Linked DNA regions of Arabidopsis thaliana. The protein of the gene in region 3 interacts with the protein of the main gene of each other region in a pairwise test. Each region holds a gene or a part of one and is shown on either strand. Other genes may lie near its edges.

What was found.
Region 1: the proteins of LSU1 (region 3) and AT4G12450 interact in a two-hybrid assay, tested with the Arabidopsis thaliana proteins (one large-scale study listed by BioGRID).
Region 2: the proteins of LSU1 (region 3) and FSD2 interact in a two-hybrid assay, tested with the Arabidopsis thaliana proteins (one large-scale study listed by BioGRID).

What each region holds. Positions count from the first base shown.
Region 1 is NC_003075.7:7,385,123-7,388,564, forward strand, and holds AT4G12450 (zinc finger (C2H2 type) family protein), read right to left. Parts: upstream 1,810-3,442; 5' UTR 1,553-1,809; coding exon 719-1,552; 3' UTR 573-718; downstream 1-572.
Region 2 is NC_003076.8:20,773,853-20,777,619, forward strand, and holds the start of FSD2 (Fe superoxide dismutase 2), read right to left. Parts: upstream 1,888-3,767; 5' UTR 1,784-1,887; coding exon 1,714-1,783; intron 1,633-1,713; coding exon 1,595-1,632; exon of another isoform or gene 1,393-1,594; coding exon 1,315-1,392; intron 973-1,314; coding exon 784-972; intron 398-783; coding exon 226-397; intron 141-225; coding exon 22-140; coding exon of another isoform or gene 1-21. UniProt on the Arabidopsis thaliana protein: Destroys superoxide anion radicals which are normally produced within the cells and which are toxic to biological systems. Plays important role in chloroplast development, particularly in the maintenance of thylakoids membranes.
Region 3 is NC_003074.8:18,374,718-18,377,733, reverse strand, and holds LSU1 (response to low sulfur 1), read left to right. Parts: upstream 1-1,793; 5' UTR 1,794-2,014; coding exon 2,015-2,299; 3' UTR 2,300-2,501; downstream 2,502-3,016.

The DNA.
Region 1 (3,442 bases), on a different chromosome or scaffold from region 3:
TTTTAATAATTAATTTTCATTAACTTAACCAATCGTATATAGGTTGTCCAAAAAAAAAAATCTCATTAATATATGCACACACATAAATGTATATTTTTATATATTTGCATGTAATCTGCATGTGAGTTGTCTCTTTTGCAGTCAACGAATTAATTTTAAAATGTGCTGCATTTGTTATATATATCAAACAATTTTTCACGAAAATATTTCCCATAAAAATAGTAATTAGTGACGTTGAATCAAATTTGTTTCTTATTTAAATAAAGTATACACTTGTAAACATTTTATATAATGAAACAAAATTAAAACTCTAAAACATCATATATAATGAAACAGATGGAATATATTCATATACTTGCATTGAATAAGTGCACTTTATTTTTAGACTGGGAACTCTTTACCATAGCAAAAACTTTATCGTTTCAGTGGTTACAAATCACATACATAAATAAAATTAATGGTTGTAAAAACGGTATCACTAATTATCTCTTATCTAATTTGCTACCTATCAATGATTTTATTCAATATCGAATCCTGCCAAATTGTCTAAACCTTAAACATAAGTATATAGATTGGACCCTAAAAACAACCAAAAATATATTTTGAACGAAAAGTTAAATATAAATCTGAAAAATACGAAGCAGATACAACAAACCAAAAAATGGAACCAAAATATATAAATCAAAATTAGTATAAATTTTATAATAATTATTATTTTTTACAATCTGAAAAAGATTAAGAAACAAGGCAACACCGCGCGAGCATCAAAGACAATCAACTCACCAGCTCGACCCGCTACCGAATCCGACCCGAATTCACCTTTCTTCGCAACCCGACCCGCAATCACTCTACAAATCAACATCGCTCTCCTCCCTCCTCCGCCGCCAGTGCTCGCGTGCGCTTCTCCGCTACCGGAAAACGTACAAACCGCCGCTCCTTTCCCTCCGGGAAAACCCCACGCGCCGCCGTTTATCCCTCCCGGAATCGGACCCAACGGAAAAAACCTCATCATCTCATTCCCATCAGCGGAGCACCGCGCGTTTTCATCACACGCGCTGCCGTCAACTCTATCAGAATCAACTTTCGAACACGATCGCGATTTCACAGCTTCTCTATATTCCTCAAACCGGGTCACAGCTTTTGACCCGTTTTCAACTTTAAAAATCATTTCAACCCGACCCGGAAACTCATCGGAGCTCCAACTAGATTGGAATATAATCTCCACGACGTTTCTTGACGGATGACCATCAGGAAGATCGGTCAATACGGGCAATACAGATTCCGAGGAAGCTCGAGCTGATACACTTCGTCGGGTCGGGTGATGAGAATTGGAGTCTAATTCGGGTCGACGAGAAGAGCATAAACGTCTTAAACTCGGGTCCGGTTTTGGGTTTTTCTTAACGGTTCCGGGTTGTGTATTGACAACGTCTCTAACGTTTTTTCTGCAGCTGTAACTTGGCAATAAGAGTTTACCTTTGTTGGAGTGATGATGATAGACATCGTCGAATGCTTTTGATTTGCAATGTAAGGATTTGACCCACCCGATCGGCATATTTCGGGTTGTGTTTTGATTTGGAACCGGATCCGGGTTGTGTCTTTAGAAATTTGAAGTTTGTGATATGTTTAGAGATTTGTGGGGGCTTTGAAGTTTTTGGTGTATGTATGTAATGTACCCATGAAGTATGAACATTGTCCCGCCGTCTTAGAATGGACGTTTTATCGGTTGGTGTTTCTTTATGGTAGTAAATGACGATATTACCCCTTTTATTTTGGGTCCTGACCAATGTCAACGTGAATTTTCCAGCTTCTTGTCTGTAAAAACAAAAGAAACTAATTATGTATCATAACCACGTACAATGCTTTTACCTTGTTAATCATGATTGAATTAACACATGTCTCATTTTAGTTAACTTCTTGTAATGTTGAAGTTAGTTATAACATATCTTTTTCCTTGCCGATGAATTTCTTGATCTAGTTTTTCTTGTGTCAGCGAGAATATCGTTTGTGGTCTATTGATTATGACCATTGTTCTATCCAATGCATAGTTGGATGATGAATTCAGGACAAATAATGTTATTACTTGCGCCAAATTGCTTTTTAGCTTTTGTTTTCAAGCTCTTATACATATTTTGTGGATATATTTTATTTATCCCTTTTTAGCATTGTAAAATATTTTTGTATGTTTTGTCTTAAACTTTATGATCCTTGTATTCTTGGTTTTTTTGAACCTTGTGACTTGAATGATTGAAATGAAATATTTGTTCCATAATAATTATAAAAGAATATCAAATTTTAATAGTATGTGTTTTTAAATAGTAGCTTTCTTTGTATGATGTTGGAATGTCGGATTCACCAAAACGAACTACAGTTTATTTTTTGAATTATTATATGAACTAATTGCATACAATTTGTTGGTGAAACAAACTAAATAAATTTTAATATAAAAATATATAGAACTATGAGAAGGAAGAAAAAGGTAATGCGTCGCTATTAATTTTTTTTTATGCTTTAATAAGACAAAAATGTCACATTTGAAGCTGCAATATCATGAAGCGACAACTTTAATTTAATTTTGAGAAAAGATATGTATTTTCGTGGTATTTTTATATATAGTGGCTTCATGTTATTGCATCTAAAATATGTATAGTGTATGTATTGGATAATTTATATATAATATATAAATATATGGCTTAAGAAAATATATTCTGGGAAACATATATAGTGTATAAATATATGGATTAAAAAAATATACTCCTTCAAGAAAATATATTTATTTAGTGTATAATTATATAGCTTAAATATAGAGTTTGATTAGTATTATTTAGAGAAAATAGTAGAAAAGAGTGAGAGTAAACAAGTAGAAATAGAATATACAGTATCAAGAGAAAATAGCAAAATAGAGTATAATTTTTTTACTCTTATGGAAAGTAGAAGAAAATCTACTCTATTTTTTTAACATAAATGGAAGAAAATAGAAAATAAAAATGATTTTATTTATCATGAATGCTACAAATTAAACAAAATTGAGAATAGAAAAATTTCAACATTTTTATTTCACTCTAAAACCTTGATTAGAGATCTTTACAATTGCGTATTTCAAGAACAAAAAAAATGTTTGCATATTTTAGGTAGGATGATATCTCATAAACCGCACTTATTTATCTTTTTTTTTCTGAAAAAAACAACTCTTATTTATCGAACAACAAATTATCCATTGGTACAAATCGAATTATGCATTGAAAAAAGTAAAAAATTGATTTTTTCATTTCATTTAATTTGTGAGTAATATAGAAAAGAGTTTGATTACCACTAACTAGTATGTAGATGTCAGAAACCTCAATTAGAAATTTGTGGATGTTTCGATGTCTCTATGCCTTGTTAATCGAACAAGATCGAATTTGAAGAATAATGTATTAAGTTATGTATAATGTCGTTACAATCT
Region 2 (3,767 bases), on a different chromosome or scaffold from region 3:
ATTGAAAGTTAAGTCACTTACAGAATAATCCCATACGAGCGGATTTACTGCATTGGGCGTCTTCACTATAACAAGTTTCTTGTCTTCCTCCTTTGGGAGAGGATTAACGGCATTTGCAACGTCAAGTCTATTCGCCTTATCTGCATCAATGATCCAGAAGCTTAAGTATGTAAGTAATTTGGGGTTTTGCATATTTGAAAAGGGAACAAAGATAAAAACACTCACATGCAAGCCATGTCCAACCCGAACCAAAATTCGAAGCTGCAGCCGACTTGAACCTTTCCAAAAACTCTTCGAAAGACCCAAAATCTCTTTCTATTAATCTGAGGAGCTCTCCAGTTGGCTTTCCTCCACCTCCAGGTTGGATAGACTCCCAGAAGAACTCGTGGTTCCAAGCCTGCAAGCCCCTCATACATCTTTAATTTACATTCAATCAACCCATCTCACATTACGAAAACTTGCCACTATGACCATGGTCCTAATCTGATTAAAGATATGAATCGTCAGGTGGTTTGCCCACTTACCCTGGATGTTATTTCTTGTCCAATCCACAGTTCACAAGAAACTACATGTATCATGTCAATGCAAGTAACTAAGTGATTTCTTGTTACGTTTTAATGTCTCTACCTATCTATGGCAATATTTCTACATAACCTGAAGGTCTTTAACACTGACATTGCCACTTACACGAATACAGTGTACTTATGGGGTTTTCAGTCTACCTTTTACATGAAAACTTTATTTTTCTTAAGAAAAACTGGTGGAAAGCAATATGGCATTTACCTGTGCAGCGTTGTTGAAAGCAGGAAGCATATTGCCTTTGTTGTATGAAAGAAGCACAACTTCTTCCAAGGATAATGCATCTAGATCCGTGCCTAAGATTTGCTTGTTCAGGTTCTCTACATAAGTTTTGTGATGTTTGCCCCAGTGATAATCCAAGGTTTCCCGGCTCATATGCGGTTCCAGAGCATCCTACCATATATCAACACACCCAACGACCAACACAGAGTAAGCAACATCACGCATATGGTTCCAAAGCAGCAATCTCAATATATCTTTGATTTATTAAGTACTACGATTCACAAAATATCCTATTTGTTATTACTACATTCATCTTTAAACAGATAGCTTGAATATTAGAGTAACCATCAACCTTCACAGCCTTATATATATCACTATCGTACTATTAGAACCAAATAAACAAAATCTGATCCAATGATAAGGTTATATATCAACCAAAATTCAACCTAAAAGCTGGGTCTTTTTAATCTACTCGTTTCCAACTCTATTGATAACGAGTTCACGAAAACATACAAGAGGATATGGAGGTGGCTTCAGCTCAAATCCAGCTGTGATAACACCGGAAACAGCCACCTTTGTCCCTAACCGTCTCTGCAAAATGAAAACACACCAAAGAGTGTGTTTTTGAATTCAAGTTCAAAACAAAACAAGTAAGAGTTTCATTGAAGCATTTCATCAAACACTTTCCCTACATGGTTCATTGTTCATGTTACAACCCAAAAAAGAGTTCCTTGTAGAATTCATCAGCTAATTCAAACTTGGAGGAGATAAAAGAGAAGTTTCAAAAACAAACCTTTCCGTTTCTTTTCCATTGCATTCGCCGGTTTGGCCCTGTAATTCACCAACTAAACCCATTTAAAACCCCCCAAGTGTTCATAGTAAGCGAGAGAGTAAGATAGAAAAAGGAGAGACCTTGAGAAGGAAGAAGCAGAGGAGAGTACAAGAGAGACGAGGGAGTGGCTGTCACTGCAACATTCATCATCTTCACTCAAAGCGTTACTGATTATTTTTGATTCAACAAATATACAGATTCTTTCTTGCTATTATATAACTAAGCCCGCCTTCTTATCTCATAGTCAAATTTATTTCCTTTTTGGTTAGTGTTAAAATACTAATTTCAATTGAATTATATTTGTTTTTGTTCCTGTAAAAATAAGTGTAGTTCAAAAATAAAAGATTAAAATTATAATAATTGTGTGTTTAAATGACATTGAGTGAATGAAAAAAATTAATACATGATATTTATGATTTCAGTTATAATTTGGTATTAAAGTGTGGATTTATATATATGATTAATTATGTTGTATATGTGGTTTAAATACAAATTATATGGTTTGATGCTTTTAAACAATGTGCTTAGAGTCAGATCTTGGTGGAGGAGTCAGATCTTACACGACTTCAGTTTTTATTGTTTTAATTTTTGTCAAATCGAAAATCAAAATAAAAAATTGTTTCTTGCTATTTTCTGTTGTTTGATTTCATTCATAAATCGAAAGCAAAATATAAATTATTTGGTTTAATTTTACGATTTTTAATTTCGTTTTTAAACAAAAATCCATATAAAACAAAATGATGATTTCAATTTGGCTAGACCAGACATCTAGTGTTGCAATTTGAGAGGATGATTTCAAGAACTCAAAGCAAAATGATGCATTGACATCTTTGTTTGTTCATATGACGTTGATTTCACTTTCTGTAACCTTTGTATTGAATCTTGCAATTGCATATGATGAGACAACGGAAATAAGTGAAACTAGAACCAATACAAAGTTGTTTAACGTATGAAACCATTTCTAGTTTATTCTAAAATCCAAATGTTTGAGAACATATGTGAGATTCATATAGGGTCAAACATATCTTCAAATTTAAATGGTAACAAATTTTATCTAATTATTGCCGTAAATTTTATACTATTTACTTTTATTAAAATGGTAAATTTATATATTAAAAATCTTTTATGAGTGTTTAAAAATTAGTTTTAAGAAAATAAGATAAATAGTATTTGCAATTAAAAATGTTTGGTAATAATGATATATAGTAGAATTAAAGAAAAAAATACTTGAGAAAAATTGTGGGATTATATCCTAAACACTAAAGACTCTCTTATGTATAGAGGAGAATGATTTTTTTTAAATCAAATTATAGGAAAAAACTATGATTGTGTTGAATAGATAGACACTATATAGTATACTGCATGAAATTTATAGGATAAAAATATGGGCTATATAATTTAATGTTTTAATTTTAAAAGTTAAGTTTTTAGTAATTTGGGAAATAGTAAATTTAAATTTGATTAAATTAATTTATTTGATAAATAAGAAATCTTTCTATAAGCTAAATATTTAGAAATCCGAAAATATTATTTTTGGATGGTGTATTTAATATTAAAATATGTTTGGTTTAAAAAATAATAAGGATAAGGATAAGGATAGTGGAATTAATAGTGTTTGACAATGAGTATATTATATTCAATAAATGAAAAATAAAAATGATGAGAACAATTATGGGCTTGCCACATCTTTTACTATATAGAGGATTCCAAAAAGTTGGAAGAAAAACAATTCCTAAATTGAAAAGATTTTTTTCTTTTTCTTGCTATGAATGTAAATAAAATCTCAAAAAAAAAATTAGGAGATGATATATATCAAGATGAATAAAGACGAAAGAGACTTAAAATTTGTTACTGCTTCCCTTCTGTCATCTTTGTATTATTTCCTATCATATTGTTAGGAAAGATTTATTTCTTTACATATGAGAAATATGACAGCATCAAATTCAATGTGCATCAAACGTTTTGACTATTTTTGATTTTCTTCCAAAATTAAAACGACAAATTTGATTTTGAAAGCAACTTTTAAAAATACGTTTCGCCAAACTAATTACAGTATAAATTGGATCTCATAGCCAATAACTTTATCTCATCAAACAAAACTCAAGTCATCTATTTCTCTTGTTGCATAGTCCCC
Region 3 (3,016 bases):
GATTAAGAGATGAAGAAAGTGTAGAGAGATAAATTACAGATAGTTAGGGTTACCGTGAGGAAGAGAGTTTGATAATAGAAGCTTTTATGTGAAGATCTGAGACGTCAACGATGGCGTGAGTGTGTTTTACACGCAGATGACGATGATGATGATCAACATAAACAAAAAGAGTTTCAGAGGTAGAAGAAACACACACGATCACGATTTGAGAACACTGTGAAATTACTAATTAAATTAATATTGAATTCAACCAATGATAAATAGCCACGTCTTTGTTCTCTTTTGTTTTTCTCGTTTTACCCTTATCTTGTTGCCTCAATTACAGGAGACAATAGGTCTCGTTAATCTTAATGTACTATACTGTGAAATTACTAATTAATATTCGACTCTTGTGAATGCAGCCAATGAAGAATAGCCACGTCCTTGTTATCCTTTGTTGAATTTTTGTTTTCTTCTGGTTTTACAGGAGACAAGACAATAGGCTCTTAATGTATACAGTGAACCTGAATCTCACGCGCTTTTTTGGTAGAGAAGGTGAAGCAAATGCGCCAAGTCGGATGTTTAAGTATATGGGCTTACTGTTTAAGCATTAGGCCCAACATTTCTAGATAATTGGAACACTTTTTTTTTTTTTTTGTAAACCAGATAATATGTATTTGCAATCATCACTATGGAATGAGTTCAAAACCATTGGTTTTTTGAAGTTATGGACTACGTAGCTAACATTTTAAAACCTACAGATTTTTATTTTATTTTAAATGTTATATGTTATATTGTATCATTACAAGAGAAAGCGATTCTTACAATGTAGTTTAGTCTTCTAACAACTGTTATTATTACTGTTGTGAAAAATATGTATTCAAACTAACATACTGCATGTTATCAACAAATGTATAAGTTGTAAATGTCTATTATATATTCTCTATGTTCCTAAAAGAATGATGTTTTGGGTTTTTCACCCAAATTAAGAAAATTAACTTTTATGTTATTTATATTATTTTTTTGTTAATTTAATAATATAATTTCTACTTCTTTCCTCTCTCTATTAGTCATTAATAAAAATAATAATAATATTAACCTAAGAAATCAATTTTTATGGAACAAAAAAAAATCTAAAACATCAAATTTCATGGAACAGGAGAAATATATTTTTGGTGATAGTACACTAATTTTCTATTTTATAGTGGTTGTAGATGTATGATGTCGTGAAATATCCCATAATAGTTCTTCAATCATAATATAAGTAACGCAATATTAAGCGGCAGCGTTTTCCCAAATTATTAACTTGTTAGTTAATAATCTAAAGAATAAATCCTTGTCACAAACTCACAATATCACAAGAAAGTGAGAAACACTATAGTGATTGGCTTCAGACGTCACCTATTTCAAGCCCTACTAACTCAATAATGTAATCAATATATACCACATACATACATCAGAGATCAGACCAACACATTTTTATTACAAATTTGACGGACCAGAGATTTATAAATAATTAAATTGAATTTGTGTAAACCACGGCATTAGAATTATTAATTACTATTCTATTTACACGTTAACATATATTTATCCATTTATCAATTTATAGTTGTATAGACGGCAATTTGTTTATTAATTTTAAAGTTAAAACTAGTTAATAACATGGATAAACCGGAAATTTCGAAATTAATTTGGTTTAAGTTTCATATAAAAAATATTTAAATCGAACCTAGCGAAACTGTGATAAAAAAACGAAAAAAAAAAATTGAACATTCGAAAAAAATAGTAAATTTTCTCTTTTGGGGTGGTCTATGCATACATAAGCCATGAGTATGTTTAAGTTTCAAGTAAGGAGAAAATATTGACCGAAATCAAAAGTGAGGAGAAATAAAAATCAAGAAGCAGATACATTGAACCTGGACATGCAAAAGCTACACAAAGCGCCTATTAAAGAAACATAATCAAACCCTAACACTCAACAAATCAAGAAACAAAGTTAGAACCACAATCAAATCCTTTTACACAAAGAATCTTAATGGCGAACCGAGGAGGATGCGTGACGGTGGCGGCGGAAGAGATGGATGAGCTAAGGAGGAGGAACATAGAGCTCTCGAGAGAAGTGGCGGAGATGAAGACAGAAATGATTAAGTTGTGGCAGCGAACGGTTGTGGCGGAGGAGGCGGAAGAGCAACTCTGCTCGCAGCTGGCGGAGCTGGAGGTCGAGTCTTTAGAACAGGCACGTGACTATCACGATCGCATGCTCTTCCTCATGGATCAAATCTCTCGTCTCTCTTCTTCTTCTGTCGTCTCTTCCTCGTAGAATAAGATATTTCTCATAAGTTATGTATAGTTGTGTATGTGACAATCACTATACATGTATATAGATCGATGGTAATATGTTATGTTTTCAACATAAATTAAATGTTTGAATCCATTTCTAGTGAATAAATTAGAATTTCTGATAATCATACAAATTGTTGAACTCCATTTCTAATGAATTAGTATTTCTGGTACTAGTTGCATATTTTGTCTTGACTTTTAATTACAAAAGTTCTTATGGAAGCAAATAATATTTTGGAATGATACCATGTTTAAGTAATGAAGTAATAATATATGAGTGAGATCTAATGTCAATCTTAACTATCAAAATAATTTTATGGAACTAGTAGGTATTGGAGACTCGAAGGGGATCGAAGAACTTTGAAGTTTAAATTCCATGAAATCCTACATTACCATAATTTTCAAAGGAATCGTAGAAGAGTTAATTGAAACTTGAGTGTAGAAAAAAATAAAGGGTTTTTGGGTACATGAGTTTCATGGAAATTTTCCACAACTTCAGGATTTTTTTTTTGTGGTCAATGGAAACCGTAGGAGAGAATGGTTCAATGATTTTTCTATGGAACCATAACAATAGTCTTTAGGGGACGTGAAACATGAAATTGTGTAAGTTTTCCATTGGTTCAAGGGTCATTTTCTGTTTCTATTTCATTTAATTATATATTTATTTTGTTAATATAAAAAAAAATCATTTAAAATA